Linked DNA regions of Xenopus tropicalis. The protein of the gene in region 6 interacts with the protein of the main gene of each other region in a pairwise test. Links are inferred from orthologs where the notes say so. Each region holds a gene or a part of one and is shown on either strand. Other genes may lie near its edges. The genes, in order: sec22a, cyb561, pln, leprotl1, dolk, eda and emp3.

What was found.
Region 1: the proteins of eda (region 6) and sec22a interact in binary tests that used the Homo sapiens proteins (3 or more experiments, as listed by UniProt). The two-hybrid records come from large-scale screens. The link is inferred for Xenopus tropicalis from reciprocal best matches to the Homo sapiens genes EDA and SEC22A.
Region 2: the proteins of eda (region 6) and cyb561 interact in binary tests that used the Homo sapiens proteins (3 or more experiments, as listed by UniProt). The two-hybrid records come from large-scale screens. The link is inferred for Xenopus tropicalis from reciprocal best matches to the Homo sapiens genes EDA and CYB561.
Region 3: the proteins of eda (region 6) and pln interact in binary tests that used the Homo sapiens proteins (3 or more experiments, as listed by UniProt). The link is inferred for Xenopus tropicalis from reciprocal best matches to the Homo sapiens genes EDA and PLN.
Region 4: the proteins of eda (region 6) and leprotl1 interact in binary tests that used the Homo sapiens proteins (3 or more experiments, as listed by UniProt). The two-hybrid records come from large-scale screens. The link is inferred for Xenopus tropicalis from reciprocal best matches to the Homo sapiens genes EDA and LEPROTL1.
Region 5: the proteins of eda (region 6) and dolk interact in binary tests that used the Homo sapiens proteins (3 or more experiments, as listed by UniProt). The two-hybrid records come from large-scale screens. The link is inferred for Xenopus tropicalis from reciprocal best matches to the Homo sapiens genes EDA and DOLK.
Region 7: the proteins of eda (region 6) and emp3 interact in binary tests that used the Homo sapiens proteins (3 or more experiments, as listed by UniProt). The two-hybrid records come from large-scale screens. The link is inferred for Xenopus tropicalis from reciprocal best matches to the Homo sapiens genes EDA and EMP3.

What each region holds. Positions count from the first base shown.
Region 1 is NC_030685.2:88,978,449-88,982,677, reverse strand, and holds part of sec22a (vesicle-trafficking protein SEC22a), read right to left. Parts: intron 2,609-4,229; 5' UTR 2,593-2,608; coding exon 2,411-2,592; intron 1-2,410. UniProt on the Homo sapiens protein: May be involved in vesicle transport between the ER and the Golgi complex.
Region 2 is NC_030686.2:16,658,432-16,662,170, reverse strand, and holds the end of cyb561 (cytochrome b561), read right to left. Parts: intron 1,441-3,739; coding exon 1,251-1,440; 3' UTR 682-1,250; downstream 1-681. UniProt on the Homo sapiens protein: Transmembrane reductase that uses ascorbate as an electron donor in the cytoplasm and transfers electrons across membranes to reduce monodehydro-L-ascorbate radical in the lumen of secretory vesicles.
Region 3 is NC_030681.2:73,814,834-73,819,773, forward strand, and holds the start of pln (cardiac phospholamban), read right to left. Parts: upstream 3,284-4,940; 5' UTR 3,177-3,283; intron 1-3,176. UniProt on the Homo sapiens protein: Reversibly inhibits the activity of ATP2A2/SERCA2 in cardiac sarcoplasmic reticulum by decreasing the apparent affinity of the ATPase for Ca(2+).
Region 4 is NC_030677.2:83,711,881-83,716,861, reverse strand, and holds the start of leprotl1 (leptin receptor overlapping transcript-like 1), read right to left. Parts: upstream 3,403-4,981; 5' UTR 3,205-3,402; coding exon 3,189-3,204; intron 1-3,188. Other genes in the region: cops4 (COP9 signalosome complex subunit 4), read left to right, coding at 3,563-3,636, 4,718-4,797. UniProt on the Homo sapiens protein: Negatively regulates growth hormone (GH) receptor cell surface expression in liver. May play a role in liver resistance to GH during periods of reduced nutrient availability.
Region 5 is NC_030684.2:22,852,715-22,857,608, reverse strand, and holds the start of dolk (dolichol kinase), read right to left. Parts: upstream 3,233-4,894; 5' UTR 3,146-3,232; exon of another isoform or gene 3,142-3,145; intron 2,081-3,141; 5' UTR 1,951-2,080; coding exon 385-1,950; 3' UTR 1-384. Other genes in the region: nucleoporin NUP188 homolog, read left to right, coding at 3,313-3,341. UniProt on the Homo sapiens protein: Catalyzes CTP-mediated phosphorylation of dolichol, the terminal step in de novo dolichyl monophosphate (Dol-P) biosynthesis. Dol-P is a lipid carrier essential for the synthesis of N-linked and O-linked oligosaccharides and for GPI anchors.
Region 6 is NC_030684.2:43,623,012-43,627,678, forward strand, and holds the start of eda (ectodysplasin-A), read left to right. Parts: upstream 1-1,592; 5' UTR 1,593-1,822; coding exon 1,823-2,122; intron 2,123-4,667. UniProt on the Homo sapiens protein: Cytokine which is involved in epithelial-mesenchymal signaling during morphogenesis of ectodermal organs. Functions as a ligand activating the DEATH-domain containing receptors EDAR and EDA2R. May also play a role in cell adhesion.
Region 7 is NC_030683.2:115,864,824-115,868,691, forward strand, and holds part of emp3 (epithelial membrane protein 3), read right to left. Parts: intron 2,397-3,868; 5' UTR 2,389-2,396; coding exon 2,311-2,388; intron 1,103-2,310; coding exon 1,000-1,102; intron 1-999. UniProt on the Homo sapiens protein: Probably involved in cell proliferation and cell-cell interactions.

The DNA.
Region 1 (4,229 bases), on a different chromosome or scaffold from region 6:
TCTGACCATGGGAAAGAGAGCAGCCCAGAAGCAGGAAGTACAGAGAATCAGAGCTCTGTACCTGGGTAAGTACTGGGGGGAGATTGGATTCACTTACCCAGGGGGAGGTTCCTGCCTGACCATGGGAAAGAGAGCAGCCCAGGAGCAGGAAGTACAGAGAATCAGAGCTCTGTACCTGGGTAAGTACTGGGGGGAGATTGGATTCACTTACCCAGGGGGAGGTTCCTGCCTGACCATGGGAAAGAGAGCAGCCCAGAAGCAGGAAGTACAGAGAATCAGAGCTCTGTACCTGGGTAAGTACTGGGGGAGATTGGATTCACTTACCCAGGGGGAGGTTCCTGCCTGACCATGGGAAAGAGAGCAGCCCAGGAGCAGGAAGTACAGAGAATCAGAGCTCTGTACCTGGGTAAGTACTGGGGGGAGATTGGATTCACTTACCCAGGGGGAGGTTCCTGCCTGACCATGGGAAAGAGAGCAGCCCAGGAGCAGGAAGTACAGAGAATCAGAGCTCTGTACCTGGGTCAGTACTGGGGGGAGATTGGATTCACTTACCCAGGGGGGGTTCCTGCCTGACCATGGGAAAGAGAGCAGCCCAGGAGCAGGAAGTACAGAGAATCAGAGCTCTGTACCTGGGTAAGTACTGGGGGCAGATTGGATTCACTTACCCAGGGGGAGGTTCCTGTCTGACCATGGGAAAGAGAGCAGCCCAGGAGCAGGAAGTACAGAGAATCAGAGCTCTGTACCTGGGTAAGTACTGGGGGGAGATTGGATTCACTTACCCAGGGGGAAGTTCCTGTCTGACCATGGGAAAGAGAGCAGCCCGGTATAACCAGGGTGTAAATTCCAACTCATAATGTGAGACACCAGTGATATAAATGTACATTGGTTTAATGTTACAGAAATGTTTTTAAATTTGAAACCTACAGAAAATCCTCACTCACAAAACATTAAATCTTTAATAACAATAATAATAATAATAATAAACAGTAGAGATGATTCTGAACCGCAGGAAATGTACTCAAAATCTCCCAGAAAAATACAAGTTGTTCTTAATTAAATGAGCAGAGCCAGTAGGGGAGCTAATGGAATTAGTGCTACAGATCTCGTTAGGAAATCAATATGAAAGAAACAACAAATCCGATCAATGAGAGAGGGAGGGAGGTCGCCGGGAGTCGGGGTATTATCCAAAAATGGTATTTAATAGGAATATTACTGCCAGCGCTCTGGGAAAGGGCAGAAACCAACTGCAAATAATGAATAAAATCATCGTTATCCGATTGCGGATAAATTCCCGTAAGGTCGGAATAAGGATTAATCAATGACAAAGGTTTAAAGGGGAAGTTAAAAAAAAAAAATGACTTTCAATAATATATAGACAAGGATACAGGGAGCTATGTGTTTTATATACTGCTATCTGGTTGATAGGCTACCTCACCCTAGCAACCGTGGATTTGGATAAGGAAAAGGGATTTAATTGTTTATACATAAATACCATTGACAGGGCTATTCATCTACAAATGTATCTGCCCTTCTCCTTAACCCATTCCAGGACCTTCCCCATGAAAAATACAATAATTCCAGGATATTGTTGGGGAGGGAGAGACGGCACAAGCTCCATGTCAGATCCACCATCTGCTCTTCATTAGGGGAGCGTGAGTGCGTGCGTTGTGTCCTGTGTTGTGTTCTCTGCTAAACTGTCACACTTTACTGCTGCGCTGCAAGTTGGCGTGATATCCCCCCCCCCTCACCCCCAGCAGCCAATCAGCAGAACAATGGGAAGGGAGCAAGATAGCAGCTCCCAGTAGGTATCAGAATAGCACTCAATAGTAAGAAATCCAAGTCCGGCTTGGGACTCCTCCAGTTACATGGGAGTAGGAGAAACAATAGGTTAGCTGAAAGCAGTTCTAATGTGTAGCGCTGGCTGAAAGCTCAGACTCAGGCACACTTTACTGCTGCGCTGCAAGTTGGAGTGATATCCCCACCCCCTGTACCAACTTATTGTTTCTCCTACTTCACATTGTTCTGCTGATTGGCTGCTGAGGGTGGGGGGTGGGAATATCACTCCAACTTGCAGCGCAGCAGTAAAGTGTGAGTGAAGTTTATCAGAGCACAGGTCACATGGCTGTGGCACCCTGGGAAATGAAGAATATGGCTAGCCCCATGGGAAAACAGATTACAATGCAGGATTCTGCTGGAGAAGCTCTAATAACTGATGGGTTTGTAACAAACAGGTTTGGCCATAACAGTATTCCTTTAAGCTTTAGTTCCCCTTTAAAAGGAAAAAAAAAAAACTTGATTGGTTGCTCAGATTTACCCTTTACTTCCTTACACACTCAGACCCTGCTCTCTTGCCCACCCAGAGGGAACCCTATTACATGCCCGGCACCCACGCAGCACCCCAATTACTTACTGGACATTATGGGGCCCTCTCCTCAGTGTGCACCTATCAGGAAGCTGCTCCAGCTTTTTGGAAAGCACTTTCAGGTATTTCTTGGTCTCTTGCACGGACGTGTTCTGTTCATGGTCGGTTGAGGCGGAGAGTGGGAGCCCGTCTCTTACACGCACCACCGAAGCGAAATGGATGAGTGACATCTCCCGGAATGGCGAGCTGATATACACACAGATACACTCAGTACCTTGTTATTATATATTCACCCCCCCCCCAAACATATGTGTCCTGCCCCTATACACAGGCTCATGGGGGGCTTTATATGCATTTATACCCCCATTACTATGGGCACAATGGGGTCTCACAAAGCATTCACACAAAGTAACATAATACAAAGCCACTGGGGCATTTATAGCAGCAGCAGTCCTGCCCTGCTTTATGGCTGAGATTCTAGCTATCTGTATAACAGAGCATTCTGTCACAGTGGCACAGATCCTATCTGATCCCCCCCCCCATTGTAAGCAGCAGTCCTGCCCTGCTTTATGGCTGAGATTCTAGCTATCTGTATAACAGAGCATTCTGTCACAGTGGCACAGATCCTATCTGATCCCCCCATTGTAAGCAGCAGTCCTGCCCTGCTTTATGGCTGAGATTCTAGCTATCTGTATAACAGAGCATTCTGTCACAGTGGCACAGATCCTATCTGATCCCCCCATTGTAAGCAGCAGTCCTGCCCTGCTTTATGGCTGAGATTCTAGCTATCTGTATAACAGAGCATTCTGTCACAGTGGCACAGATCCTATCTGATCCCCCCCCATTGTAAGCAGCAGTCCTGCCCTGCTTTATGGCTGAGATTCTAGCTATCTGTATAACAGAGCATTCTGTCACAGTGGCACAGATCCTATCTGATCCCCCCATTGTAAGCAGCAGTCCTGCCCTGCTTTATGGCTGAGATTCTAGCTATCTGTATAACAGAGCATTCTGTCACAGTGGCACAGATCCTATCTGATCCCCCCATTGTAAGCAGCAGTCCTGCCCTGCTTTATGGCTGAGATTCTAGCTATCTGTATAACAGAGCATTCTGTCACAGTGGCACAGATCCTATCTGATCCCCCCCATTGTAAGCAGCAGTCCTGCCCTGCTTTATGGCTGAGATTCTAGCTATCTGTATAACAGAGCATTCTGTCACAGTGGCACAGATCCTATCTGATCCCCCCATTGTAAGCAGCAGTCCTGCCCTGCTTTATGGCTGAGATTCTAGCTATCTGTATAACAGAGCATTCTGTCACAGTGGCACAGATCCTATCTGATCCCCCCATTGTAAGCAGCAGTCCTGCCCTGCTTTATGGCTGAGATTCTAGCTATCTGTATAACAGAGCATTCTGTCACAGTGGCACAGATCCTATCTGATCCCCCCATTGTAAGCAGCAGTCCTGCCCTGCTTTATGGCTGAGATTCTAGCTATCTGTATAACAGAGCATTCTGTCACAGTGGCACAGATCCTATCCCCCCCATTGTAAGCAGCAGTCCTGCCCTGCTTTATGGCTGAGATTCTAGCTATCTGTATAACAGAGCATTCTGTCACAGTGGCACAGATCCTATCTGATCCCCCCATTGTAAGCAGCAGTCCTGCCCTGCTCTATGGCTGAGATTCTAGCTATCTGTATAACAGAGCATTCTGTCACAGTGGCACAGATCCTATTTGCATGGAGTGCTCAGTGAGAATGGTGAATTTCAAAATACCCTTCTCCATCTGTCACTGCTGCCCTTTCAAATACTCAGGGTGGGGGGGTATAACCACGGTCTCAGCAAAGTGCCCCCACTGGTGCCAGGCAGACCT
Region 2 (3,739 bases), on a different chromosome or scaffold from region 6:
CTAAAAGTAAATTCCAAATACAGTGGAATTCTTCATAGGATTCCATAGAAGTGTTATATTTTGTTCTGATTACATTATTTAGTCTGAATCCTAAGTGAGACTCCTTGCACAATCGGCTAAGAGTTTCTATGTTCTCCCCATGTCGGGTTTCCACCTGAGAAACATCAAGCAGTTTAATTGGCTCAAGATAAAATTGCCCCTAGTGTATGTGTGAATGTGATAAGGAGCTTAAGGCTGATGCCAGACGTGGCGTAGGGCTGATATTTTCGGCAAGCGGAAAAACGTTTGGCGAAAATACAGCCCTACGCCTGCTACTTGTGCCTGCACCCGAATGAATGAGATACACTCGGGTGCAGGCACATGTAGCCGATATACGCATGAAAACGGAGACTTTGCATTCTCTTGCGTTTTCATGCGTATATCGGCTACATGTGCCTGCACCCGAGTGTATCTCATTCATTTGGGTGCAGGCACAAGTAGCAGGCGTAGGGCTGTATTTTCGCCAAGCGTTTTTTCTGCTTGCCGAAAATATCAGCCCTACGCCAGGTCTGGCATCAGCCTAAACTGTAAGCTCTATTGGGGCAGGCACTATAACCCCCAGCACCCTCTTACAGCTGCCTGCCTTCTCTTCTTTTCCAAAAGATTTATGGATTAAATCTCCCATAAGCAAATAGGCAGAAGTGCATGTTGAACATTTATTAGCACAGACATCCAGTGGATACAATTGGCACATAACCTAGGAGTGGAAGTAGAGCGCAGAAGGAGGACACTCACAAAGATGTGGGCAGGGGCATCAGACTGATGATTAAGCCTTACTTCTCCTTTAACACTTCAGAATGCTAGCTGTCAGGTGACTGGCCAGGAATAAACTTGCAATAAATATGAATATTTCCCATAGACAATCTTCTAAATAATTACCTTTTTTCCATCCTGGCACTTAAACTGCATTCTGATGCCGGGATCAGTGGCCTTGGCAAGCAAATTACAGTGGCATGGTCTAACAGGGTTTGGTTGTCAGGAACTGTTGAACAAAATTGGCACAGGCTGGCACCCATAGGTAGGTGTGGGCACAACAGCATTTTTAAGGCTGCATCTGTGTAAATGTTGCTTTGTCAGAATCCACATCCCATAGTAGTCCCGGTATAGGGACAGGTAGCAGTGAGGGTCCCAGCTGTACATAAGTTACAATCACAAGCAGCATCAGAGGTTTCGGACAGTAGAGCGCGTCAGTCTAAGCTCGGCATAGTGGCTCACTGATCAGTTGGGCTGTCTCCTTCAGTGAGGGTCTTAAAGTCCATGGAAAGGGCCTGCTCCTCTGGAAGAGGTGGGCGCCTCCATTCCTCTCGTGTCAGGATGTAGGCAATAACTGCTCCGAATACCACTAGCAGCACTCCCAGTGTGTTGACCAGGACGCCCTCTGCTGGCCGTTGTGAGTAGTCCCTGTTTTAAGTATATATTTTAATAGTTTGTAATATATCATGTATACAACACGCAGTATGTTCTGCATATATCTATAGACAATAAGCTCTATATATAATATATTCATCCTTATTGGTATTAGAAAGTAACTCATACAAGTCACCAATTGGTGTTTATTCCATTTACAAAAAAAAGTTATACAGGAACTCTGAGTATCACTCATGTATTATAAGGGATAATGTACTGTAAATTATAAGGATATTAGAAATTAGTGAGGGATTCTGTGACCATAAAAAGGCACTCGGAACTCTGAGTGTCTAATACATGAGTGATACTCAGAGTTCCCTGTATAACTCAGCCTGCAGCCTTGTGCCTTTATATGGGCACAGAACCCTCAGTGACTGCTAATATCCTTATCATTTACAGTAGGGGGTACATTATCCCTTATAATACATGAGTGATACTCAGAGTTCCCTGTATAACTCAGCCTGCAGCCTTGTGCCTTTATATGGTCACAGACCCCCTCAGTGACTTCTAATATCCTTATCATTTACAGTAGGGGGTACATTATCCCTTATAATACACGAGTGATACTCTGAGTTCCTTGTATAATCTAGCCTGCAGCCTTGACACACAAACACTTTTTGCATAGACCGTACAAAGGACGGTTACTTAGATCTCTCCCTGACGTGCCCTTTCCCTGCACAGGTGTGGCACCCTCCAGTTATTTATACACCGTGAGGCGAAGCCTGACCAAACAATAGCAAGCAGCCAGGGCTCTTTGTTTAGAAGTTGAATAAGTTCCTACCCAAACCAAACTAAAAGTTGTACTGATCAGTGCAGAAAGAAGGGAAGATTGATCCCGGCTCATACTGTGTGGGCAAGGCTAGCCAGCGCTAAGATCTGCCAGTGCGGTGGATTTCTATAAAATATATAACCTCTCTCCTGAGGGTTCTGTTGCATGTTTTGTGCAATCCCAGTCAAAATGGATTATATCTAAATAGAACTTGTATAGTGGGGCTAAGTGGAATGTTTTTTTTTTTTGTATCGAAAATGAAGCTCCATCTGCAAGGCTGCTGTGTGTGCTAGGTATTAAGCCCTGTGTTGTAGTTGCTCTTGTCTTTGTGTGTAGCAAGTCCACTAGCCACCAGCTGCCATGCCACAAATGTCCCAGTGTCCTCCTTTCAAACCAGAAGCAAACTAGCCTGCCATAGTATTACTATGAATAGGTAGCTCTTTTCTACTGGTGTTAGCAAATGGGATACAAATATTACAAGCGACATTACCCAAGAGCTTTAACAGAAATCATTTCCTCACCACCCACGCAGGAGATGTGTCAGCCGCTGAAAACGTAGCTTTAACCTCTTCAACTTTTAGTGTATTATAGAATGGCTAATTCTAATCAACTTTTCAATTGGTCTTCATTATTTATTTATCGTTTTTTAATTACTTGCCTTCTTTTTCCAAACTTTTGCAGGTTTTAAATGAGGTTCCCTGACCCCCAGCAGCAAAAAAACTATTGCTCTGTGAGGCTACAGTTTTATTATTTTTTATAATTTATTTTTCTATTTAGGCCCTCTCCTAGTCATATACCAGCCTCTCTTTCAAACCACTCCCTGGTTGCTAAGGTAACTTGGACCCTAGCAACCAAATAGGTGCTACAACTCCAAACTGGAGAGCTGCTGAACTAAAAATGGCTAACAAGAACAAAGTATGCACACTTCAAGACAAACACACCACTGAATAGAATCAATTGTACTCTATATTAGAAGTCACTGAGGGGTCCTGTGACCACGCAGGAGGCTGCAGGCTGAGTTATACAGGGAACTCTGAGTATCACTCATATATTATAAGGGATAATGTACCCCCTACTGTAAATGATAAGGATATTAGCAGTCACTGAGGGGTTCTGTGCCCATATAAAGGCACAAGGCTGCAGGCTGAGTTATACAGGGAACTCATAATTCATGAGTGATACTCAGAGTACCCTGTATAACTCAGCCTGCAGCCTTGTGCCTTTATATGGGCACAGAACCCCTCAGTGACTGCTAATATCATTATAATTTACAGTAGGGGGTACATTATCCCTTATAATACATGAGTGATACTCAGAGTTCCCTGTATAACTCAGCCTGAAGCCTTGTGCCTTTATATGGGCACAGAACCCCTCAGTGACTGCTAATATCCTTATCATTTACAGTAGGGGGTACATTATCCCTTATAATACATGAGTGATACTCAAGGGGATAATGTACCCCTACTGTAAATGATAAGGATATTAGAAGTCACGGAGGGGTTTTGTGACCATATAAAAGGAGTG
Region 3 (4,940 bases), on a different chromosome or scaffold from region 6:
TTAGCAGGCTGCTTGACACCATAGTAATAAACGGTCCTTATGTGGTTGACTGTTCAGTGAAACTAAAGTGGGACAAAAATAAAGATAAAAATTCTTCATAATTCTAGCAAGCAGCCCCAGTGTCTGTGGTCCCTTGTATGCTACTTGTGTGTCCTGTATGTTCATGCACTAGAAGAACAAGTAACAGTACCAAGAGCTACTCCATGTACCTACAGCCTGTACCTTTATTATAATAAAGGCCAGAACACACAAGGCCACGCTGTGTACCAACTACACAAGTTACTGAGCTTTCTAGAGATATATAATTTGAAGCTTGAAACTTGTAGGAGGACACTAGACTGGAAACTTTCTGCCAGAGAGTATTGGGGGTGCATGGCATGTACACATGATATGCTGCTAGCTAAAGGATCAGCTAACAAAAAAAAAAAAAAAGTCTTAATTCATGTTATATCAGGAAAGAGTTGTATACTATGAGTTATTTGCATCCTCTGAAATATTTTAACACAAAAATCAAACTACACACAATTCTAAATGCATATGTGTAGCCCATTTATATCACAGGCTCATTCAGATATGTCCATGAAGCAAAAAATAACTTAGAGGACTGCATCTAGCCCATGGGCCTCCAGCTGGACAGACCGTTTGATGTGCAGATTACCAAAAGTAAATATCTACTGAATTTCAAATTCATTGTAGTGTAGAGGCATTGTACTGATGAGTTAAGGTTATAAGTTATATACTGTTTTTAGAAAAAGATACTTGTTTCCATTTTTGTGTAAGATCCTTGTCTGAGAGATGATTCATTATTAAAGCTATTGCTTAGTAAAGCCTAGGAGGCATTCCAGCATTTGTCTTGATTTTTTTGGCCAGCAAAAGTATAATTTTTTTTCCCATTCGGCTCTTCACATAAGATACGTTTGTAAAAGGTCATGGTTAAATAAATTCAAGTGAACAAACACAAGTAAGTTCATTCATGAAGCTTACAGTGACAGCAAAGTGTAATAAGGGTGTATTCTTTTTATTATTGTAATAAACTTTTACATTTGTCTTTCAAAACAATTTTATCATGCTTTATATAGGAGGTGGGTTAACCCACTTATTAAAATGTTTCTTTTCCACTATTTTTTTTTTTTTTTTTTTAAACTTGAAATCGTTACAAAGAAATAAAATAAGGCTGATGCAAGAATGCCCCTTCATAGTTTACTAAAGCCCTTGGGTAGGCTAAAGATCATATTGGATTTGGAAAAGGTCACCAGTGGAGAAATTATGAAACTATTTGTGCTGTTTGTTATGTGGGATAGCTTGTACTCCCTGAGCCATGGCCAATAGTCCCTTACTCCGCCTGGCTCTTGAAATTATTCCTGGTAAACAAAAGGATTATGTTATTAGGTATTAACTACTGCTTGGCCAGGAATGTCACAAACAACACTCCCCTCTAAAGTAAAGTATTTCATGATCTTGGGCTAGCCATTAAGTCAAATTCTGGAGGTTTGTAGATTGCCCAAACTTGGCCTTACTTCTTATGTAAAAGCAACATTTGGATGCAGATTGCTGCATTGGATTTTAACCACATTTGTTTTATTTGCATTTGAAGGATATCTAGTTTGATGGCACACAGTGTGATTTTTATTTTACCCTTTTTATCTGGTTGAAAAGCACCCAAAATCAGCTCCTCCCTTTGACATGAAAGTTTCATGAAAAGACTGCAACATTATAATTAGTGTTGTACATGCAGGTAAAATACAGCTAATATATAGCTGAATATCCATCTAAAAATAGAAGAAATTATTACACTTATAAATTATTGTGTATTTCCACAATATTTGTTTCAATCTATATATGTATCACATACCCTGAAGAAGGAAGGTCATACCCCCTTGGTCACTATTGGTGTTGGGTAAATTAAAATTGGACTGTTTGAGTCCTGATCTTTTATTTAAATGGTAAATGGCTGGCCAGGTATCCAGGGAACATGTTGCACCACCAACAGTGACTATTTATAGTGGTATTTATATTTTGCATAATGAGCCATTTTGATGTTCTATATTCTGTGTTGCCTGCTGGTGAACTGAGCTGAAACATGTCATGCTGATCTGAAGATGCACTCCCTCTGGACAGTGTTCATCTGTGGTAAATGTGTACACTGGGAAGTGCATCACCAACAGCAAGACAAATGCCTGTATATACAGAGCTTAAAGAAAACAACTAGCTAAAGCTTTGCTCATTTATATACAGGGTGCAAAGTCTCAAGACTCTATCTCTTTAAAATTGCTCGTCTGCAGATCTAAACAGAGTAAGCAATTACAGTGAGCCATAGAGCATTCAAAAAGTTGCTATGTGGGCCACTTTTTGCCCTTGTGATACTATATAGGAAATATAGGCTATGGTGCTCAGACTTACTTTCCAGTTTCCAACACTCTACTAAAATATTTCCCCCTACTTTTTTTTTCTTTGTGCTGTAATGCCTCAATTACATTTCCTTCCATAGTTTTTGGCTTGGTTTCCAGGCTAAATGCCTATGAGAACCTTTCTCATTAACATTTTGACCTCCCCATGCTATCACAAACATGCTTCCCAGCATTAGAAATACATGACTATTTCCAGTGTTTATTTGCATTCAGCAGCCCTAAAAATAATACATCTGAAGTTCCAAGACATGGGGAACTGATGAGTTTGACAAATGTATTCCATTATTCTATTGACATACATTAAAGTATTTTCTTACAATAAATATAATTTACATTATATACTGTTCTACAGACGTCAAAGAGCCCATCCAGCTGTTAAAAGCTATATTTCCCAGAACCCCCTAGAATGCTGGCAGCTGTCTGTTAAAAGAGCAATATTTTTACAGCCCACAAGGGACATAATTGTCTGTGAGACAGTCAGCTAAATATAATATGGATGCTGCATATCTTTGCAAATAATCCCAAGCTTATACAACTGGTTGTAATACCTTTCTTTTTCTTTTATTAGCTGAAAATAGGAATTCCAAATAAATGAATTGCAGACTGAAAATTAAAACCTACTCATATCACTTACATGTAAATTAGATGACAATTTTAGTTGCAGACTGAAATGTATGTATCAGGATAAAGCTGCTTTGATCTGCAAGCCAACATGCAAAGCATGTTAAAAAGCAATATTATTTAGTTTCACAGTGCAGATGCCCTTACCTTATTGAAATTTTGTTGTTAGTAAGTAGTTTTGCAGTGGGAAGTGTTCGGCAGCTTGCCTTGAGCTCAGTGGCAGGGCTGGGGGCTGTCGCTCAGTTTATTACAACAATTGAGGAGGTGTGGAAATGAGAGAGTGAGGGGTGGTTGGAAGCAGAATCGCAGTGAGAGGCAGGACTCCTGATATTTGGAAAGAATTTTGCAGTTTGTTGTTAAGATTGGCTGTGGTTTCCTTCCTTAGAATTAATCAAAAGTTCCCTTAGAGTGAGATGAACTGATAAAACATAATAATTGTTATGTGCCTGCAAGTTCTCTGTTGCAGTTCTTCCCATAAACGAATGGGCTATTTGATTGACATAGTTCTAAAAATGCAAATCAACTGTTGTTTACCTAATTATCTGCACTAAAGTTTTTGGATAAAAGCTGTAAGAAAATACTAGCTTAAGATAAAACATGTTCATTTGGGACCACTAATATAATTATAGATTATATTTTTTGTGTATGTGAAATCTTGCATTTGTTTTACCGACTTCTCTTTCTGTTCTGCTACAAGTGGTTGTGTACTTGTTTCTTCTTATTAACAATGGACTTTGCAGAAAAATGTATTGTCACACTTGTGTGAAAAAGCTTTATTGTGGCAGTTAAAATGCAAAGTATTTCTTAATGGCAAGCATTATTAACAAGCCATGTAAAGGTTTAGGGCTCTGGCACACGGGGAGATTAGTCGCCCGCGGCAAAACTCCCTGTTCGCGGGTGACTTACATGTTCGCCGGTGGGATGCAGGGGGAAGGCAACTCGGAGAGATTGGTCGCCCGCGAACATGGAGTTTTGCCGCGGGCGACTAATCTCCCCGTGTGCCAGAGCCCTTAGGAGTGGTCCCAAACCACTGGTTTGGGAGCAAAATGTTGTTTACCAGCCCCATAGATATTGCTCCCAGTTGCCCCAGAGAAGGTGCTTATTTTTAAATTTCTGCCTTGGTTTAGTTGCATAAAACCAGGTGTACTGCCAAACAGACTCTCCTGTAGGCTACTAGTCCACATATGGGATCTCAAATGACCAATCATAGTCCTTATTTAGTACCCCAGGTGCATATTTTTATGCTTGTTTTCCTCCCCAAATCTTTTTACATTTGAAAGTGTCTAATGACCCCTGGCTTAGGATATAGAGATGAACTAATTAACCATAATTCTGAGTGATCTGTCAGGTGTTATTACATTAAAGAAATCTTAGTAGGTGGTGGTAACTGCTCTATTGAGGGGTATGCCATTTTGAAAAATAATAATAGTCAATTTGAATAAGGCTGGAAATCTCAACTGGGAAAAAAATAAATTAAATAAACTTAATTGAGACAGTTCCCACTGACATCTATAGAAACTTTGCTTAGGAACTATTTAAGCTTTCAAAAAATGTTCTTGAGTATAATCATGTACACAGTTTTTTTATGTGTCCTTTTGTAGTTGTAGTGTACCCTGTTATAAAGTGGTGTTTATTCTGCCTTTTTAGTTCTAACAACAGCCCTATCTTGCTTTATGGCACATAAAGGATGAATATCAGAGGAATTATTCCTCAAGACTCCTGACAAACTCTGTACTCTTTATCTGCTAGCTAGAAAGGACCATGATACAATTTATAAGAAGAGTAACAGAAAATGAGTTTCTAAGGCATACAAAAAAATTTCAATATATAAGTAATACATTTATAAGGTCATTGAAAATAAGACAGTATAAGTTAAGCAATTGGATAATTAAATATGATGAAAATTAACCT
Region 4 (4,981 bases), on a different chromosome or scaffold from region 6:
TGACCTCTTTCAGAAAACTGTGCATGTTTTATGCGTTATTACAAATCAAGTTCAGAGATTATGTTTTCATTCACTTGAGATGTTAGCACCACAAAGAAAAGAAAAATTGTAAAGTGTTTTGTGATTATTAAAGGGTTAATGCAGTACTATTTGGCTACTCACAATTGTGACCTACATTGAAAATAACTTTGGTTTCATAAAAATGTATTTTTTATGAATTATACATTTGTAAAACAGCACCAAACTATTGATATGTGGGTTAGGAAAAGCCCAGACCCTAATCCACACCCATCCATAACCTTCAGAATGTTGCCATTGTAGGACCTCCACCTTCCCACTCCGTATGCTGCTTGTGTGTGTATCTGTGGTTCCAAGGCTATCTTCAGGAACAGAGGAGTGTACTTTCCCAGTCTGACCTGCACCCAACCGGAACCTGCAATGGCTGCCCAAACTGTAACCCAAACCTACCAGACCCAATGGCAAACTATGGATCACAGGTCAACCCCATACATCGCTACACCAAATGACAATTTATAGGTACACCTTTCTGCTAAAGGACAGGAAAATTCACTGACGGGTCTTCCTCAAAAGAACTAACACTTAGTAAAACACTAGACATGCATCATTAAAGCTGCAATTTTTGCAGCTTTCATATTTATCCAATGTATTTCCAAATGTTACATTGTCCTTTAATAACCATAGTTGATGCTCCTATTAGCATACCAATGTTTTGACACACACCTAAATTAATGGTTATATATTTAAAAACAGTGCAAAACTATATTTAAAAAAAAAAAAAAAGTGAATTACAAAGTTCTTTCTCTGTGACTTCAGAGTAATAAATAGGATCGCTGTCTAAGGAATTAAAAAAAGTTACTCTCGCTCAGCAGCTTGTCACATGACAGTCTGATGACCCGAATAATCTCAAATAGCCAGCTATTCCCATAGGGAATCTAACATAACGGTAAAATAATGCATTGCTTTCTTGAATAGTGCCGATTTCTGTAAGACAACTAGAAGGGCATCTTTTGAAATCTTCTCATTTCTTGTAACTATATGGTGAACAAAAAAAAACAAAAAAAAAAAGCAGACATCCAAAAAAGGTTTTAACAGACAAAACATACAGAAAATATCTCCCCTGTTTGTTCTTGTGTCTCAGATGACAGCTTGACCACTTCATTCAACAAAAATCCAAATGCAACTTCAGAAATAAATATTATGGCAAAAAGAAGAACATGTGCACCTCCTGGCAAAAGGTGTTCACCACTCAAGCAGGTAGTGCTTGCTTTTGATGTTAGCAGCACAAAAATTTGAATACAGATAATCAGCAAAAGTTACATTCTATAGAGCAGTTAAAGTGTTTTATACTTACTATTAGAATGGATATATAAACCAATTAAGCTACTCATAATTGTGACTTACATTGTAAATAACTTTGCACCATTATGCATTGGTAAAACAGCACCAAACTAGTGATGTGCGAGTTAGGAAAAAATCAACACCCATCTCCAACTAACTAGCATTACTAGCTTACTGTAGTCACTATTGTTCAGTATGCCCAGTTTATTGCAATTTGCTGTGTTTATAAACAAGAGTAGCCTTCAGGATTGTTAAACATTAACAGTCTCTCTCTAAAGATATCTCCACCTAAAAAAGGTTTGTTTTTGTGTAGAATGATTCAAAGCTGCATAGTATCCCAATAATCAGCAAAAGTTACATTCTATAGAGCAGTTAAAGTGTTTTATACTTACTATTAGAATGGATATATAAACCAATTAAGCTACTCATAATTGTGACTTACATTGTAAATAACTTTGCACCATTATGCACTGGTAAAACAGCACCAAACTAGTGATGTGCGAGTTAGGAAAAAATCAACACCCATCTCCAACTAACTAGCATTACTAGCTTACTGTAGTCACTATTGTTCAGTATGCCCAGTTTATTGCAATTTGCTGTGTTTATAAACAAGAGTAGCCTTCAGGATTGTTAAACATTAACAGTCTCTCTCTAAAGATATCTCCACCTAAAAAAGGTTTGTTTTTGTGTAGAATGATTCAAAGCTGCATAGTATCCCAATAATCAGCAAAAGTTACATTCTATAGAGCAGTTAAAGTGTTTTATACTTACTATTAGAATGGATATATAAACCAATTAAGCTACTCATAATTGTGACTTACATTGTAAATAACTTTGCACCATTATGCACTGGTAAAACAGCACCAAACTAGTGATGTGCGAGTTAGGAAAAAATCAACACCCATCTCCAACTAACTAGCATTACTAGCTTACTGTAGTCACTATTGTTCAGTATGCCCAGTTTATTGCAATTTGCTGTGTTTATAAACAAGAGTAGCCTTCAGGATTGTTAAACATTAACAGTCTCTCTCTAAAGATATCTCCACCTAAAAAAGGTTTGTTTTTGTGTAGAATGATTCAAAGCTGCATAGTATCCCAATAATCAGCAAAAGTTACATTCTATAGAGCAGTTAAAGTGTTTTATACTTACTATTAGAATGGATATATAAACCAATTAAGCTACTCATAATTGTGACTTACATTGTAAATAACTTTGCACCATTATGCACTGGTAAAACAGCACCAAACTAGTGATGTGCGAGTTAGGAAAAAATCAACACCCATCTCCAACTAACTAGCATTACTAGCTTACTGTAGTCACTATTGTTCAGTATGCCCAGTTTATTGCAATTTGCTGTGTTTATAAACAAGAGTAGCCTTCAGGATTGTTAAACATTAACAGTCTCTCTCTAAAGATAACTCCACCTAAAAAAGGTTTGTTTTTGTGTAGAATGATTCAAAGCTGCATAGTATCCCAAGTCTTCCATGATGCAAAATGCTGTTTTTGTGTGGAGATCTTCTAGAAATACCAAACGTTCTAAAGTACGATTTGTGCCAGTAAATTCTTGTCCAGGCATCAAAGAGACTGCAAAATATTACACTACACTATACTACAGAAACCAGAAAAATAAAGCTAATAAAATCTACCAACATGAATCCCCTTTGAAGTACAGAGCTAAACAAATATCGAACATTTTGTTCCAGTCATTAATTTGCTGAGATATCGTGCTACATGTATTGTGAGCTATATGTATAAGCAACATAAACAAACGAGAGCGTCAAGTACATATTGCTTTGATGCTTGCATCGATTTAATCCGCGGCAATTACCTTTTATGCCTGCCATGAAGCTGAGCACACAGGTCCTGCAGCAGAAGAGATTTAAGCGAATATTCTGCAGACAGGAGCGAAAGAATTTCTGGACCTGTTCAGAACCCACACAAATAAACCAGGGGACAACCTCTCAGAAAAATGAATGGAGCGATTTTCGCATTGTAGCGGCTAGTTCCTATCCTCGGAAGGGACCTTCGTGACGTCACGGTCATGTAGTCACAACCCATCTTTTTCCGCCCACCATTCACTTCCTGTCTGAGCGCCTAACCTATCGTAGCGCAGGTCCTATACTAAGCGGTCACGTGACTGCAACACCGGAATCATTTCGCTATAGTTCCGAGTGGTTTCAGTGTGTCCGAGCAGAAAGCAAGATGGCAGCCTCTGTCAGACAAGACCTTACACAACTGATGAATTCTAGCGGATCGCATAAGGATCTCGCCGGAAAGTGAGTTTGCCGCTAACAGAACTTTTGGGACACATTTACGTTAGCGCGTAGGAACTAATAAGTGTGCATATGCTTGTGGTTAGTGCTCTGAGGGGGCTTTAGTGCCAGTCAAAAATTCTATTGGGCAGAAATGTTCAAATGAAAGAAAGGAAATGATTATATTGTGTGTAGATGAGTGATGTTACCGCTTATTGAATTGTTATCTGCGAGCCAATGTATGGCTTAGCATGGATAGAAAAGGTGAACAAGTAAATATAAACCAGATCTGACATTATAAATGTAAAATCAGTCAAGGAGTTCCGTGATGAGGTGTCTGGTATTTATGATTTCAATTTCATTTAATTGTTTTTTTCAAGTTCAATAAAACATTTCTACTGCACAGATTAGATGTTCCTACTGTACATTTGCAGCCACATGAGGAAAACAATTCCCCCAGTAGAAGATATACTAACAAACTGCAGCTATTACAGTCTTTACAGATCTCCCACTCCTCATTCATTATATCTCCTCCTCATACCTATCACAATTTTTTGCCTTTAATCCCCTATTTCTATGTCTTACATTTCACCCAGCCATTCATACTTTCTTCTTCTTATGTGTCGTTTAACTTTTCATAATTATACTTATTTACACCTTTAGGATAATTTGCATTCGCACTTTCCATCCTATCCTGTTATTTTTTAAATATCACTTTATTCATAAATTATTTAAAAAAAGAAGATAAAGGCAAACATAAGCAAATGTAATTAATATTCATATTAATGTAAACCATTAATATTTGTTTATCTACATAAATTAGTATATTTAGATAACTGTCAGATATGAGTGTTAGTGTGATGAACAATTGGAAGGGGGAATAAGCACCTAGTGGACGGTAGTTGCACCAAGTAGCTAAAAGTATATTGTGGAAATAAAAACCTAAATTGAAACTGAAACCTTATAGAGTGACCAGGATTTTGAATTCAAGCTTTACTTGACAGGAGTTGCAAAAACACAGTCCAAGAAGCCAAAAATATGTTTTCCTATATTATCCCCCATTGTTTTTCTAAGTGCTGGTTAATTTATCTTTCATGTTTTATAGGTACCGACAAATATTAGATAAAGCACTCCAACTTCCTGGCCCAGAACAACTTGAAGCCTTGAAAGCTTTTGTTGAAGCAAGTATGTTTGTATTTTTGGGTGTATAAAGGGTTGCACTATTGGGGAAAATGGGTTCAGTAATTATCTGACATAGATTATCTGACTTACATTATCTATGATAATATATAATATATATCATATATTATATATGATAATAGGAAATGTGAGTGCAAGTGGTGTGTGTGTGCAGGCAGTGGAAACCCAA
Region 5 (4,894 bases), about 21 Mb from region 6:
GGAGAGATGCTGATAAATAAGTGAAAAAAAAATTGCAAAAATGTCTCAGAATATCAATGCCTACATCATACTAAAAGTTAATTTAAAGGTGTACTACTTGAGGAAGCAGCATTTAGGGATGTATTAAAGGGGGCATATAACCACTTTTTCAGTAGCATTTGTGTTTCCTAAACAGCTAGGGGTGAGCAAGGCCGTATCTACCATAAAATAACCCTCGGGCCCATGACTTTAAGGGGCGGCCCATGGGTACCTCTTTGATAAATAGGGGAAAAAATGCTACTTATAAATAGGATAAATGCCCCCTTTAATGAAAATACACTTTTTCTTTTTAAAAATGGCTATACCGATGCTCTGCCAAAGAGCCATGTTTTCTTCTTGCCACCCTTATACCATTAGCAGTATATGGAGGTACAGCGGCAAGACCAGATTATCTATTTGTGTAGTGAATGCTTCCAGCAGCGACACCAGAGTAATGGACCCCAGAATCCAGACATAGCCGCTGTTTAGGTTTACGCTGCTGTCAAAGATTAGAATAAGGGCGGCTGCAATGATCTGAGCGAATATAGACATCATTGTCCCCTCGAAGGTCTTCTTTGTCCCAGGCCACCTTAGCTCACCCATAGCACTGCCACAAACAGAGGCCACGGTGTCACCTACACCCACAGCCAGTACGCCTGCATATGGGAGTAACGTGGACGAGCCTGTAAGGGAAGTGGCACAGACCCTTGGAAACAGCCACACTGGCAGTGACATGCCCAGCAGCAGGTAGATGTGTGTTAAAATAAGGGGGCCGCTGTCCCGTTCATCCAGAAACAGAGTCAGCAGGTTTCGTAGAGTCTGCCCAAAGGGCTTGATCCGGAAATACCGCATGTATTCTAGGAGTACAAACACTGCCAAGCAAATGACAGATGCCACGTACAGTAGCTGCCGGTCGTATAGGAGTCCAGGAATGTAGGTAGCCACAGCCAGGAAGTGGAAGTATTTGCGAATCGTTGTTGAAACATGAAGCTTCTTTGAGTCTGGAGACCTCTTGGAATTCTGGTGCAGAACCACAACACACGCAATAAGTGCAAGAAGCAGCCAGAAGGCCAGCAAGTATAGCCGAGTGTGGGACTGCACCAGAAACTCAAGCAGCCATAAAAGTGGGTGTCTACGTATCAGGTACTGCAGCCAGGGCACAAAGACCCCTAAAGCCAAAACAGTGGTCATCATGTAGAAAAACAGGGCGGAGGTGCATGAGGAGGAGTCCATAAACACAAAGAGAATGGAGAAGATAATTCCCACCAGGACCAAGGCAACCAATGTTACCAGCAGGAGGTAATCAATGGGGTCTCCCTTGCCCCCCGCAGAAGTGAGAGAACACTTGATAAGCTGGTTGAGCACAAAGCTCAGGCCTCCTAGGATGAGCAGTGCCTCCCCAGGGGTGAAGCATCGTGGGAGCAGGTACAGAAGGATCATGCTGAGGTACACAAAGATCAGCAGAACTTCCAGGACTTCTATGACTTCAGAGACCGCCAGGGAATTTTTCATGGTGTAGAGTATGGCACTGCCGGCAATGCCAGAAAGGATGCAGGTGTTTCTAGGGATAGGTTTAGTGATACCCAAGGCGATGATGGACAGGAAGTATGCCAGAGCCATGCCGGTAGCAGATATGACCACTCCAAAGCGTTCAAAGTACACACTTCCAGATATTTTACACCTTTCTCTCATTGCTATACCCAGAAGTGGGATAACCATGCTGGCCGGAAGGAGGCCGCTGTTGGCAGATGATCGGTACTGAAACACTGCCCCTCCTGACTGCAGGAGGCGATCCCATTTGTGTTGCACGTAAAAAGCCTGGATGGCTAGGGCCAACGTGCACCACGAGAAGCGGTCCCAGACCACGGCGTGAATGCTTAGGACTATGCCAAACACCACCAGAGACTCGGCTACAATCAGTTTATTCACCATGGTGCCTGCGGGTGCCAGATCTCTTACTTTCCTTTCTTCTGCAAGTGCCGATATGCTAACTGAATCTCAATGTACAAATGGCCACTTCTTTGGTTTGCATGATCTTTGTACATACAGTCATTGGTCACACCTACAAACAAAACATTCCATATGTAAGTTACAAAGACACCCCTCCATTTCAATCCTTCCCAGCAATCTTTTCTGCTGCCCTGGGCAGGTGCTTGCAATTAGCGATTATAATTACTGGGGGGGTGGGGGTGCCTAACAAATTACTCTCCAACCCAATGATTTACCCTTTATTTATTATACAAGTCAGCCACCTTAGATCAAATGCAGTGGGAATATAAGTTGAGTGCTTGGGGCTTCTGGATGTGAATGCCCAGTGTGTGACCCAATGCATTCTCTTCTGGACAGTCAGAACACACCTGCACCATATTCTAACTTTGATCCAAATGTTTTCACTGGATGATCGAGAAAATCATATCATAATATAAAATAAGTCAGTGCAGCAAGACCCATCAACCAACCAGAGATAAACTTAGATATTCTTCTTTCCTTCAGAGGAATAGTCCACGTTAATGGCTGATTGGTTGCTATGGGATACTGCACTGAGCAAACCAGCCCATGGATTATTATAAATAGAAAGAGAATACACTTGAGGGATCAAATAGAAATATTTTGTTTATAGTTAAATAAGGCCCATTCCACCATACAGGTCCCAGAATCAGCAATCCCCATGGCTACACAGGACTCCTTTCAAACGAAACACCCTTTTTATACCAGAACAGGGTAAAAACGAACATATTGATTAAATACATCATTTATTAGGGTCTAGTGCCCATTAACCAGAATGGAGGAGAACTATATCTACTAATGTAACATGGGTTGTAACACCACATTCAGATCATTGTATGCTACAGACAGTTTATAATGTTAAACCAATAAATAGGATTTTTTCCTTTCAATTGCATTAGCGGAAGCCTTCTTGCTCCTTGGGACGAGGGCAGCAGTAATGCATTAGGGGAAGTGCCCTCCAAACAATGAGTCAGTCTATTAACTCATAACAACACAACAAAAGCCTCCGGGCAGCAGAACACCATACGGGGTATATGGGCAATATATGGGCAAGGCAGCAGTGACACAGGGTTAGGGCGAAGGTGAAAGATCTTTGTGCAGCTTCCATTCTCTCACCTACCTTGGCCGCCACCATCTTTAGTCCGGGCGGAGGAGCACTAGTGCAGTCACCCAATCAGCTGACTTCCGCCAGGGCAGGAGCATCACGTGATATACGCACCGCGCTGCTGGAGAAGTGGGGGGGGGGCTTGGGCTCGTCACGTGTGAGGCCGTGAAGGGGGCGTGAAGATGGCGGCGGCCGGGTGTCTGTACCGGAGGTACCGGGGAGAGGAGGGTTTTGGAAGGGGATGTGAATTCCGAGCGACACTGGAAGCTGCAGCGGCAGCATATATAGAATTTAAAGGGAGAAGGGAGGGAAGTTGGTTCCCAGGGGACAGAGGGAAGTCAGTGCGAGTGAGTCAGTCCATGTGGGAAGCAACAGGGAATAGGAATATTGCTGGGCAGCCCGGCGCTATATGGGGAGAGCTTTATATGGCCATGTGGTTATATGAATGGAAATATCCGGCACTGACATTAGAAGAGCGGTTAGAAACTTTCTCAGGGCTAACCGGACTGTACCATTTTCTCTCTGACAGGGGCACATGCTTCAGATGAAAGCAAGCCGTGTTGTGCCGTTCGGAGACCTGGATTAATCACTGTATAAGTCATTTGCAAAAGCAAAATGATAGTGTTTTCTCCTGGACTTGGTCCCCTGGACAGGGCAGAGACTCTCCTGGTCCCCTGTCTGGCTGGCTGCGGGCAAGGCAGAGAGTTGCCCCCCTGTCTGGCTGCGGGCAAGGCAGAGAGTTGCCCCCCTGTCTGGCTGCGGGCAAGGCAGAGAGTTGCCCCCCTGTCTGGCTGCGGGCAAGGCAGAGAGTTGCCCCCCTGTCTGGCTGCGGGCAAGGCAGAGAGTTGCCCCCCTGTCTGGCTGCGGACAAGGCAGAGAGTTGCCCCCCTGTCTGGCTGCGGACAAGGCAGAGAGTTGCCCCCCTGTCTGGCTGGGGGCAGGGCAGAGTTGCCCCCCCTGTCTGGCTGCGGACAAGGCAGAGAGTTGCCCCCCTGTCTGGCTGCGGGCAAGGCAGAGTTGCCCCCCTGTCTGGCTGGGGGCAGGGCAGAGTTGCCCCCCTGTCTGGCTGGGGGCAGGGCAGAGTTGCCCCCCTGTCTGGCTGGGGGCAGGGCAGAGTTGCCCCCCTGCCTGGCTGGGGGCAGGGCAGAGTTGCCCCCCTGTCTGGCTGCGGACAAGGCAGAGAGTTGCCCCCCTGTCTGGCTGCGGGCAAGGCAGAGAGTTGCCCCCCTGTCTGGCTGCGGGCAAGGCAGAGAGTTGCCCCCCTGTCTGGCTGCGGACAAGGCAGAGAGTTGCCCCCCTGTCTGGCTGCGGACAAGGCAGAGAGTTGCCCCCCTGTCTGGCTGTGGACAAGGCAGAGAGTTGCCCCCCTGTCTGGCTGGGGGCAGGGCAGAGTTGCCCCCCCTGTCTGGCTGTGGACAAGGCAGAGAGTTGCCCCCCTGTCTGGCTGCGGGCAAGGCAGAGTTGCCCCCCTGTCTGGCTGGGGGCAGGGCAGAGTTGCCCCCCTGTCTGGCTGGGGGCAGGGCAGAGTTGCCCCCCTGCCTGGCTGGGGGCAGGGCAGAGTTGCCCCCCTGCCTGGCTGGGGGCAGGGCAGAGTTGCCCCCCTGCCTGGCTGGGGGCAGGGCAGAGTTGCCCCCCTGCCTGGCTGGGGGCAGGGCAGAGTTGCCCCCCTGCCTGGCTGGGGGCAGGGCAGAGTTGCCCCCCTGCCTGGCTGGGGGCAGGGCAGAGTTGCCCCGCTGTCTGGCTGATGTAGCAGTTGTTTCATAG
Region 6 (4,667 bases):
ATTGGGGGGCTCTGTGTATGGGGGGGTACTGTGTATGGGGGGCATTGTATGGGGGGACACTGTGTAAGGAGGGCTACTGTGTATGGGGGGGCACTGTGTATGGGGGGCTTATTGTAAGGAGGGCTACTGTGTATGGGGGAGCACTGTGTATGGGGGGCTCTGTGTATGGGGGGCTCTGTGTATGGGGGGCTCTGTGTATGGGGGGCTCTGTGTAAGGAGGGCTACTGTGTATGGGGGGCTCTGTGTATGGGGGGGCACTGTGTATGGGGGGGCACTGTGTATGGGGGTGCTGTCTATTGGGCCATCGTGGGCACTATTTTAACTAATTTAAAAATGGAGTGTGGCAATTGGGGCGTGGCCACAAAGTGGGCGTGGTCAAAATATTGTCCTCTTTTCATTTTTCAAATGTTGGGAGGTATGGCAGAGCACAGCATGCAGGGGAAGAGGTAAAATATAGCAGACATTTAAAAGGGGCCCTTATAAGTCTGGGAACCTTAGGCCTTGTTAATACGGCTAGAACTTCTAGTGGTACATTAATATTGTTTTGCTTTCAACTGATAAAAAATAGAAGGAAATAACATAGATTTATGTACCACTGGAATTGGCCCTGTTTATAACTTTGGCAAATGCACATAACTGTTGGCATGTCTGAAGTTGATATGCCCTTTATCAGTTTCATTTAGTAATTTTACTGGGATGTCTGGGGTTAATATGCCCTTTATCAATTTAATGTAGTCATACTGACACTTTTGAAGTTAATATGTCCTTTATTCTTTTTATTTAGTGATTATAATGGCACATCTGGGGCATGTAAAGAGGGTGTGGTATGTGGGGGCGTGGTCACAAAGCAGGCGTGGCCAAAAAAATTTCACCAACTACCCGCGTCACATATTTTTGTCCCTCTTTCTCTTAATGAAATGTTGGGAGGTATGCCCCGAGCTCGTAAATTTAACGAGTCAGGGGAGGAACGGTCGGGCAGAGGGAGCGCTGCAAGTGTCGGGTCTGGGCCGCTGGGGGCATTTATACTGATGTTGTAGAAGGGATGCATTAAGGCGACTTGGGGGCACATTGGGCTTCCAGAAGCTCTGTGTGTAAATGTATTTTTTTAATTTTACCAGCCCTTCCAGTAAAACAGGTGGCAATGCTACCTACAGGTCCAGTCACTTGCAGGCACCCTGTTTAGAAGCAAAAGTCTTATTGGTTGCTATGGGTTATTGCACCCAGGCATTTGGGGATATGTCTGCCAGCTGCAAGGACAGAGTAGTTTAGTAGTATGTACAGGCAACAACCATGCACCTTTTAAAAAGAATATTAATGCACAATGACAAATACGTTGTGGCACCACATAGTATTGTAAATTGTATAGCTTTACAGAATATAACCTGCGGCGTGTACTGTCATATATCATAACATCACTCAGCTGTCAAACATATTTTCACAACAGGGCGCTGAAGTTCCCTGCGTTTCCGACAGATGGCACCCTGCGCATGTGATCTTGGGGAGGAGTCGCTGAGATGAGACGCAGTGCATTTTGGGATAAGGCGCACTTTTATCTGGAAAAGAGTTCCCAGCTTTGCTTTGTTGTGGGCGGGGCGAGTAGGCGGGGCCAGTGTAAAATGCTGGGCTTAGGGGGGCGGTGGCTTTGAATGTTGGAGGCGTGTTTGTGGCAGAACTGGGCAGCTCGCCTGCTGTCCCGTCCCTCCCGCGTCTCCTCTCCGCCAGCATCTGTAGGGCTCGCCTCGGCCGCCACTCATGGCGCTCTAGTGGCTGCAGTTCCCCCCCACAGTCCCAGTGCGCCCTTGGGGCCGCTCCTTTCCCGAGCATGGCACCGCGGAGTTCCTCGGACAAGCGTGGCATGGACTCCTCTGACTCCTCCCTGCAGCAGCAGCCTGCATGTGCCTGTCCGAAACGTTGTGGGAGCTGCCGGCTCTTTCTGGGCTTTTTCGTCCTGTCATTGTCCTTACACCTGGTGACCATTTGCTGCTATCTGGAATTGCGCTCGGAGTTAAGACGGGAGCTGTCTAGGGGTTCGGGGACAAGTGAAGCTCCGGTAGGGACTTTGCAGCAGTGGAGGACTGCTTTGCGACTGGTTGACATGCAGCAGCCCAACGACCGGCGACAGGTACCTTCCACTCTTTCATTTAGTGGGAAGTCATTCAGAAATATTTACAGAAGTACAACTTTCAGCCCCTCCTACTCCACTTCTGGGAGTTGTAGTTTCACAACAGCACCAGGGGCCTCTGCAGGGAGAGATGTGCCTCAAGTTGCAATGGGATGTGTTTAGGGATGTGCAGCAACCTGTCACTCTTCAGCTGTTACATGAATGCTGTCAGTGCATGCCAGGGGGTGCTGGGGCATCACTTTAGATGATCAGTGTAGCGCTCCGGCAGGATTTCCAGTGGTGAGGATGCCCTGGAAGCTGGCCCATCTGGTACCCTTTGGGACATACAGAGGGGAGGACCACTGTCCTAGAGATGCTCACCTAAAACTGTCAATCATTATCTTCCTTATCAGGCAGCTAAATCAGTGCTTATCAGTTATGGGGATTCCAAGCTTACTAATGTGTGCTTTATCTGAACAATTCACTGCTACCTTCATTGTCTACAGGCATGTTAAAGAGATACATCCTACAGTGGTTAACTGCAACTTCCAGCACCTCTGGCACCCACTGACTGCTGCAGGATGTAAACCCAAAGCTATCAGTTTGCTTAATGAAAGAAAATGTCATTCTAAACAGCTTTCCAATATATCTAGTATAAATAAATTTGAAGCAACTGGACTTGTTTAGTAATCATTGAAGACGTTTCACTACTCATCCGAGCAGCTTCTTCAGTTCAGTTGAACTGAAGAAGCTGCTCGGATGAGTAGTGAAACGTCTTCAATGATTACTAAACAAGTCCAGTTGCTTCAAATTTATTTATACTAGATATACCATGACCTGGATGAATGAAAATCTTCATAGACAGCTTTCCAATATACCTTCATTCTAAACGTCAATGATTTCAAAGTTATTTGTAAAAGTAATACCAATAGAGATAGAGAGAATAGAAAGGGACTGCACTCTGTAGCAATTATACAATACATATATATTGGAGGGTTGCTTTGCATAACAAGTACCTTAATTAAGCAAAATTATATTTGGGTTTACATCCCCTTTAGCGCCTGTATCAGATGATACCATCATTCTGCTGTGTTGAGCCTATGTATGGTGTGCATTGGTGGCAAGCTCTTGTATGTATTTGCATAGCATGGAAAATATAATATATATAAGTGGTAGTGGACTGAGCAAACACCTTACTGTTGTAATGGAAAGAACAATCTCCTGTCCTTTGTTACAAGAGAGAAAAGTGGATTTAGTCTAGTAGAATGCAAACTTAGCCTTTTGCATCTGAATGGAACAAACCAAATGGAACTACATAAGTTTATTCTTCTTGCCATGTTAATATTTACTGCTAAATTGTATATTAGATTGGCCCCATTGCTGTTTGCTGTCCGTGAATTAATGGAACCCTGTTTGGTGTTGGTATAAGGGTATCACCTAGGATTGTAAATGCAGATGGTTTATTTACAGTAATGGCTGCCATGCATGCATTGGTATTGCCAACTGTGCTTGTATAGGCAGCTTTTAGAACATATTGTCCTACAATTCCATTAAATTGCAGTTGGTCTGTCCAGACTAAAAATGTGATGGTTCTTGTTAATGAACATGAGGCAGTGGCAGTTTTGGAAGTGAGATGGGACACAGCTCATTTAGTGAATCAGAGCCATTGGGCTATCCATGAATGCAGTAGATTTGGAAAAGAGTGGGACTGCGGCTCTGCCAAACAAATGAGCAGTTCTATTCAGCAAGCCACATGAGTTGAAGAATATTTGCCTGGACAACTTGATACATCTCTAAATTTTACTTTTGTATGGCCAACCAGTGAACTAATTCTCTGCCTTTTGTGGTCACCATTAGAACTGGCCCTCAGGCAGTTGTACTGGAATCACTGAACCGCAGCATGTCTCGCAATTATTTTTGTGTGACTGCCAATGGTTTGTGTGAATTTGCAGTTCAGTAGAAACCATTCATTTGCCCCCCAGCTACAGGGGCATTGTATTCAACTCTGTAGTGTTATTCTAAGTAATACCCAGAATCCACTACATGAGTTTGATTTTACTTAGAAAACCGTTGATTTGGCGATGGCGTGATTTGCTTAGTTGCAAACTCGATAAACAGAAATATACAGACTATTTCTAAGCAAACAGGATCCAAATACACAGAGATGAAGACCAGATGTACCCAAGTCTTATACCTTGCTTTAAATCTCATACCCTGGCGAAACTGTGTGATATGTCTGTTCTGTAACTAATGAAACCTCTTTCCCTAATGCTTTCGTGCAACTGCCATATAATGCAGTAAAAAAAATAAACTCTTCTTGAACCAGAGCTTAACAGCTGACCCGACTATTTAGAAGTTTTCTGTTGGAATGGAATAACTTGCCCCTTGGGTGTTGGTGCACAGATGATGACTGTGAATTTGGCAGGTATCGTATTCTCTTGTTAATTTCTCCATAGCTCTATTGAGTGCAGGTGGATTTCTCTTTATGGACTGAAATTATCTGATTGCTGCTTTTGCCAGCCATTCTGGGTGACTGAAATGGTATTGGATTGCAGCTAGTTTAGCT
Region 7 (3,868 bases), on a different chromosome or scaffold from region 6:
ATGTAAATTTTACTCTCATTCTAACCTTTTTTAAAGCCTCCAGGCATATCAGCAGCCTGGATATGATTCTCTCTTTTGCCTTCATAATGTTCGACAAATGTTCTCCAAAGACTATGGGTTACGTACTTTGTATATATATATGTTTCAGTAATTGAACAACATTATTATACTTTTATTTTTAACATATTTTCATTATAATGTTTCTGTTCTAATAGCACTGTTGTAGAACAATAATATTTAAAGGGAAACTCCAGCTTCCGAACCAAATTTGTTAAACACAACACAGAAACCCCTAAATACTTATCACTGTAATCTGTTATATTATTATATTATTTTTATATGCTGAAATCCAGAACAGTTCTTCTCTTTCTGCATCATTTAAAATCCTAGCAGGGGAGGAGTTCCCCTTTAAAGGACAAGTGTAGACGTTCTCTCTAAGACACCCTGCATACAAAAGCAAATGACTTCACACAGTCTGCAGAAACACTGCATTAATGTGGGACTGTATTAAAACCTGTTTATAAATCTGTGTATATTACTACATATTCTTTCATATATTCTAACTAGTGATGTTCAGGCAAGCCTGAAACCTGTGGATTAGCGGGATGCAGGTAGAATTCTGACCACCACCCTCCCCACCCATGACATCAACATACTGCTAGTTCTCCTCCAGCTGTCTGTTGGATGCTTATTTATATGCTCACACATGCCCCACCCCTTCCGCTGATGTCAGTGGGTTGGGTGTGGGTATATAAATAATCACAGCTCGCCGGGTTGGGAGTGGACTGGTCAGAGTGCGGGATGACTTTTTATTTTTTTTGACCTACACATGACCAGTGCCATACCTGATTATGTTGACTACAATTATTATTATTTTCAGTTTGTTACCAACCATATCTAATTTGCAGGTGTAGAACCTCAGACTTTGCCTACTGGGTGGGTGGGAGTAGAAAATGGAGGGCAGGAGCTTTAATATTCCTAGTTATAGTGATGCCTTACCATTAGTAGATACAGAAGAACACAACCAGACTCCCGTGTTGTTGTCTAGAAGGCAGTCGTACCAGAGGTTCACAGTCTCCTCTTCAGAGAATACCCACCAGGACTAGACAGCACAAAGATGAGAGGGTTATTAAGAAGGTTATTTCAGTACTTCAGTTTCTATCCTTATTCCATTAAGGGTAATGAAAGGTGAAACTGGTCAAATCCTACAAGCTTCCAAATAAAATTAGTCAAGAAGCAGTATCTAGTAGAATTAAGTCTAAATAACTGGACTTTTCTGAGTTTTTCTTGAAAACGTTTCACATTTCATGTTGATGACAAGTGGTGTCACAGGCCCCCTCCTCTGTTTAGACACCGCTTCTCATCAACATACAATGCTGCTTTGACATCCTTACCCCGGCGGTTTCGCAACTTTTCACACTTCATGTTCTTTGAAGGGTTAACACCTGCATCAATGAGATTCATGGAACCATTGTGATTGTATCATACCTTCTTACACCTGTCAGTTTCAGCCAACCCCTAATTGAACAAGTTCAATGGAACCATTGTGATTGGATGTCTGTGACTGTACTACCATCAAGAGTTTAAATACCGGGGAATTCCCTACCAGTCATTTGAACTGAAGAAGCCACTCGGATGAGTGGTGAAAGGTTTTCAAGAAAAACTCAGAAAAGTCCAGTTGTTCGAGACTTAATTCTACTAGATACTGTGTATCATGACTTGGATGAATGAGAATGTTATTAAGTGGGTTATTTCAGTACTATAGTTTCTATCCTTATTCCATTAAGGGTAATGAATGGTAAAACTGATCAAATCCTACAAGCTTCCAAATAAAATTAATCAAGAAGCAGCTAGTTATCCCCACAAGAGATACATAACCAATTTAAACCAACAGGCACAGATTCAGCACATAGGGTGCAACATGCTGGAGGGCATTTTATTGCTTCATGTTTGAGGGTATGTCCCCTTTAGTCCAGTCAATATCATGCTCTTGACCCAGTCCATCAGGCTATGTTCCCTTCTAGTAGGCTGTATGTACAAAACCAGCATTTTAAAAACTGCATGCAACACTGGCCAATGTGCTGGGTCGGTCTCAGCTGCACATTGTATAAACACGGACTCTAAAGTGGTTTTATATTATATATATATATATGTGTGTATATGCACAGGAAACCTCTCCACAACTGCCAGAGCTTAGAAGGGACATTCCCACCAGGACTAGTATATTTGTGTTCATTGGGTGAAGAAAATGAACACATTTGTTCTACTCAGCGTACAATTGTCCCCTGTCTTTGTTTTTGTTTTACTTACATTGTCAAGTGTGGCAACGAAGAGGATCACCAGTATGATGAGATGTAAGGCAGTGACGCCAAAGAGTAGGAAGCTCATCTTCAGTTCTAGAAGAAAGAGAATATATATAGTATTACATACAATTACATACAGTTAGCAATATATTTTACAATGACAAAGAGGATATTCCAGTCCCACCACCTCTAGACTATAAGCTTTTGCTCTTTTATTGCTCATAGTAGTTCATAGAACCAAAAAATATAGACTTGGTAGATCCCTGGTTAAAAGTGTATATTTATTTGTGTGCTAATAACAGTATTTCCCTTTAGATTCTGTGCTGACCTCTATAGGATCTCTGATGGTCACACATGTAACCAGAGACGGCCAATGACAATGTATTTGGCATCTGTGCCTCTGAATATCTCAGTCTCTAAACCCGAGGCCATCTGATAACTGTTGGAATAGCAATAACTGGCAGCCATGAATATTCTACAAATCCGGCTATGATAATTGCTCTTCTTTAATTAAACCAAAGAGGTAGAGCCGGTGATAAGATCTGATTATCACATTTGAAGACAAGGTGAGATTAATATTTTGTTCCCTCAAGCTGCAGCAACATTTGTGTTTTTCTTCTAGTCATTCTCTTCACTAGGAACATAACTGGAAATAAATTGATGTTTAGGGTCTTTACTATGGGACCTATAACTGCTGTACGGTATTATCAGCATACATGGTTTGACAAAGACAAAAACAGGAGACTGAACATTGGTCATAACAGTAAAATATCAGATATTTGCAGAATTTTAGTTCTTTAGGTGCCACTTCACCAGTACAGTAGCCTACTGGAATCAAAACCTTCCTCTAACAACTCTAATGGAATTATGAACAGCTTATTCCTGTATGGTGTAAAGTTTCCAATGACTGTATTGGAGCAAATGAAGGTTTGAATTTCATCTACAAGACTCATTGCCAACTCCATGCTTGAACACTTGGAATATTTGCACTCCTTTGGGCTGGCTATGGACACAATCAGTTTAGTGTGCAACGGGGAGGGGGTCACAGTTTTCCAAGTTTGCTCCTTACATTAATGTTCTATTCCTCTCTCTTCCATTCTGTTTTATCCAGATATGGCCAAATATATGCCATTTGGTTGATGTATGGATAATACGCAGTGATGCCCAACCAGTAGCTTGTGAGCAACATGTTGCTCCCCAACCCCTTGGATGTTGCTCTCAGTGCCCCCAAACCAGGTAGTTATTTTGGAATTCCTGACTTGGGGGCAAGTTTTGGTTGAATAAAAACAAGATTTCCTACCAAATAAAGCCCCCTGTAAGCTGATAGTGTGCATAGAGGCCCCTAATAGCCAATCACAGCCCTTATTTGGCTCCTCCATGAACTTTTGGTGCTTGTGTTGCTCCCCAAGTCTTTTTACATTTGACTGTGGCTCACGAGAAATAAAGGTTGGGGACCCCTGGATAATAGGATGGCAACATGAGAACATCACCCTAACAGTAACTATAGCTCCAGGGATACTCTATTAACAAACATTGAGCCCCATACATCTTGTTTGACCATAAAT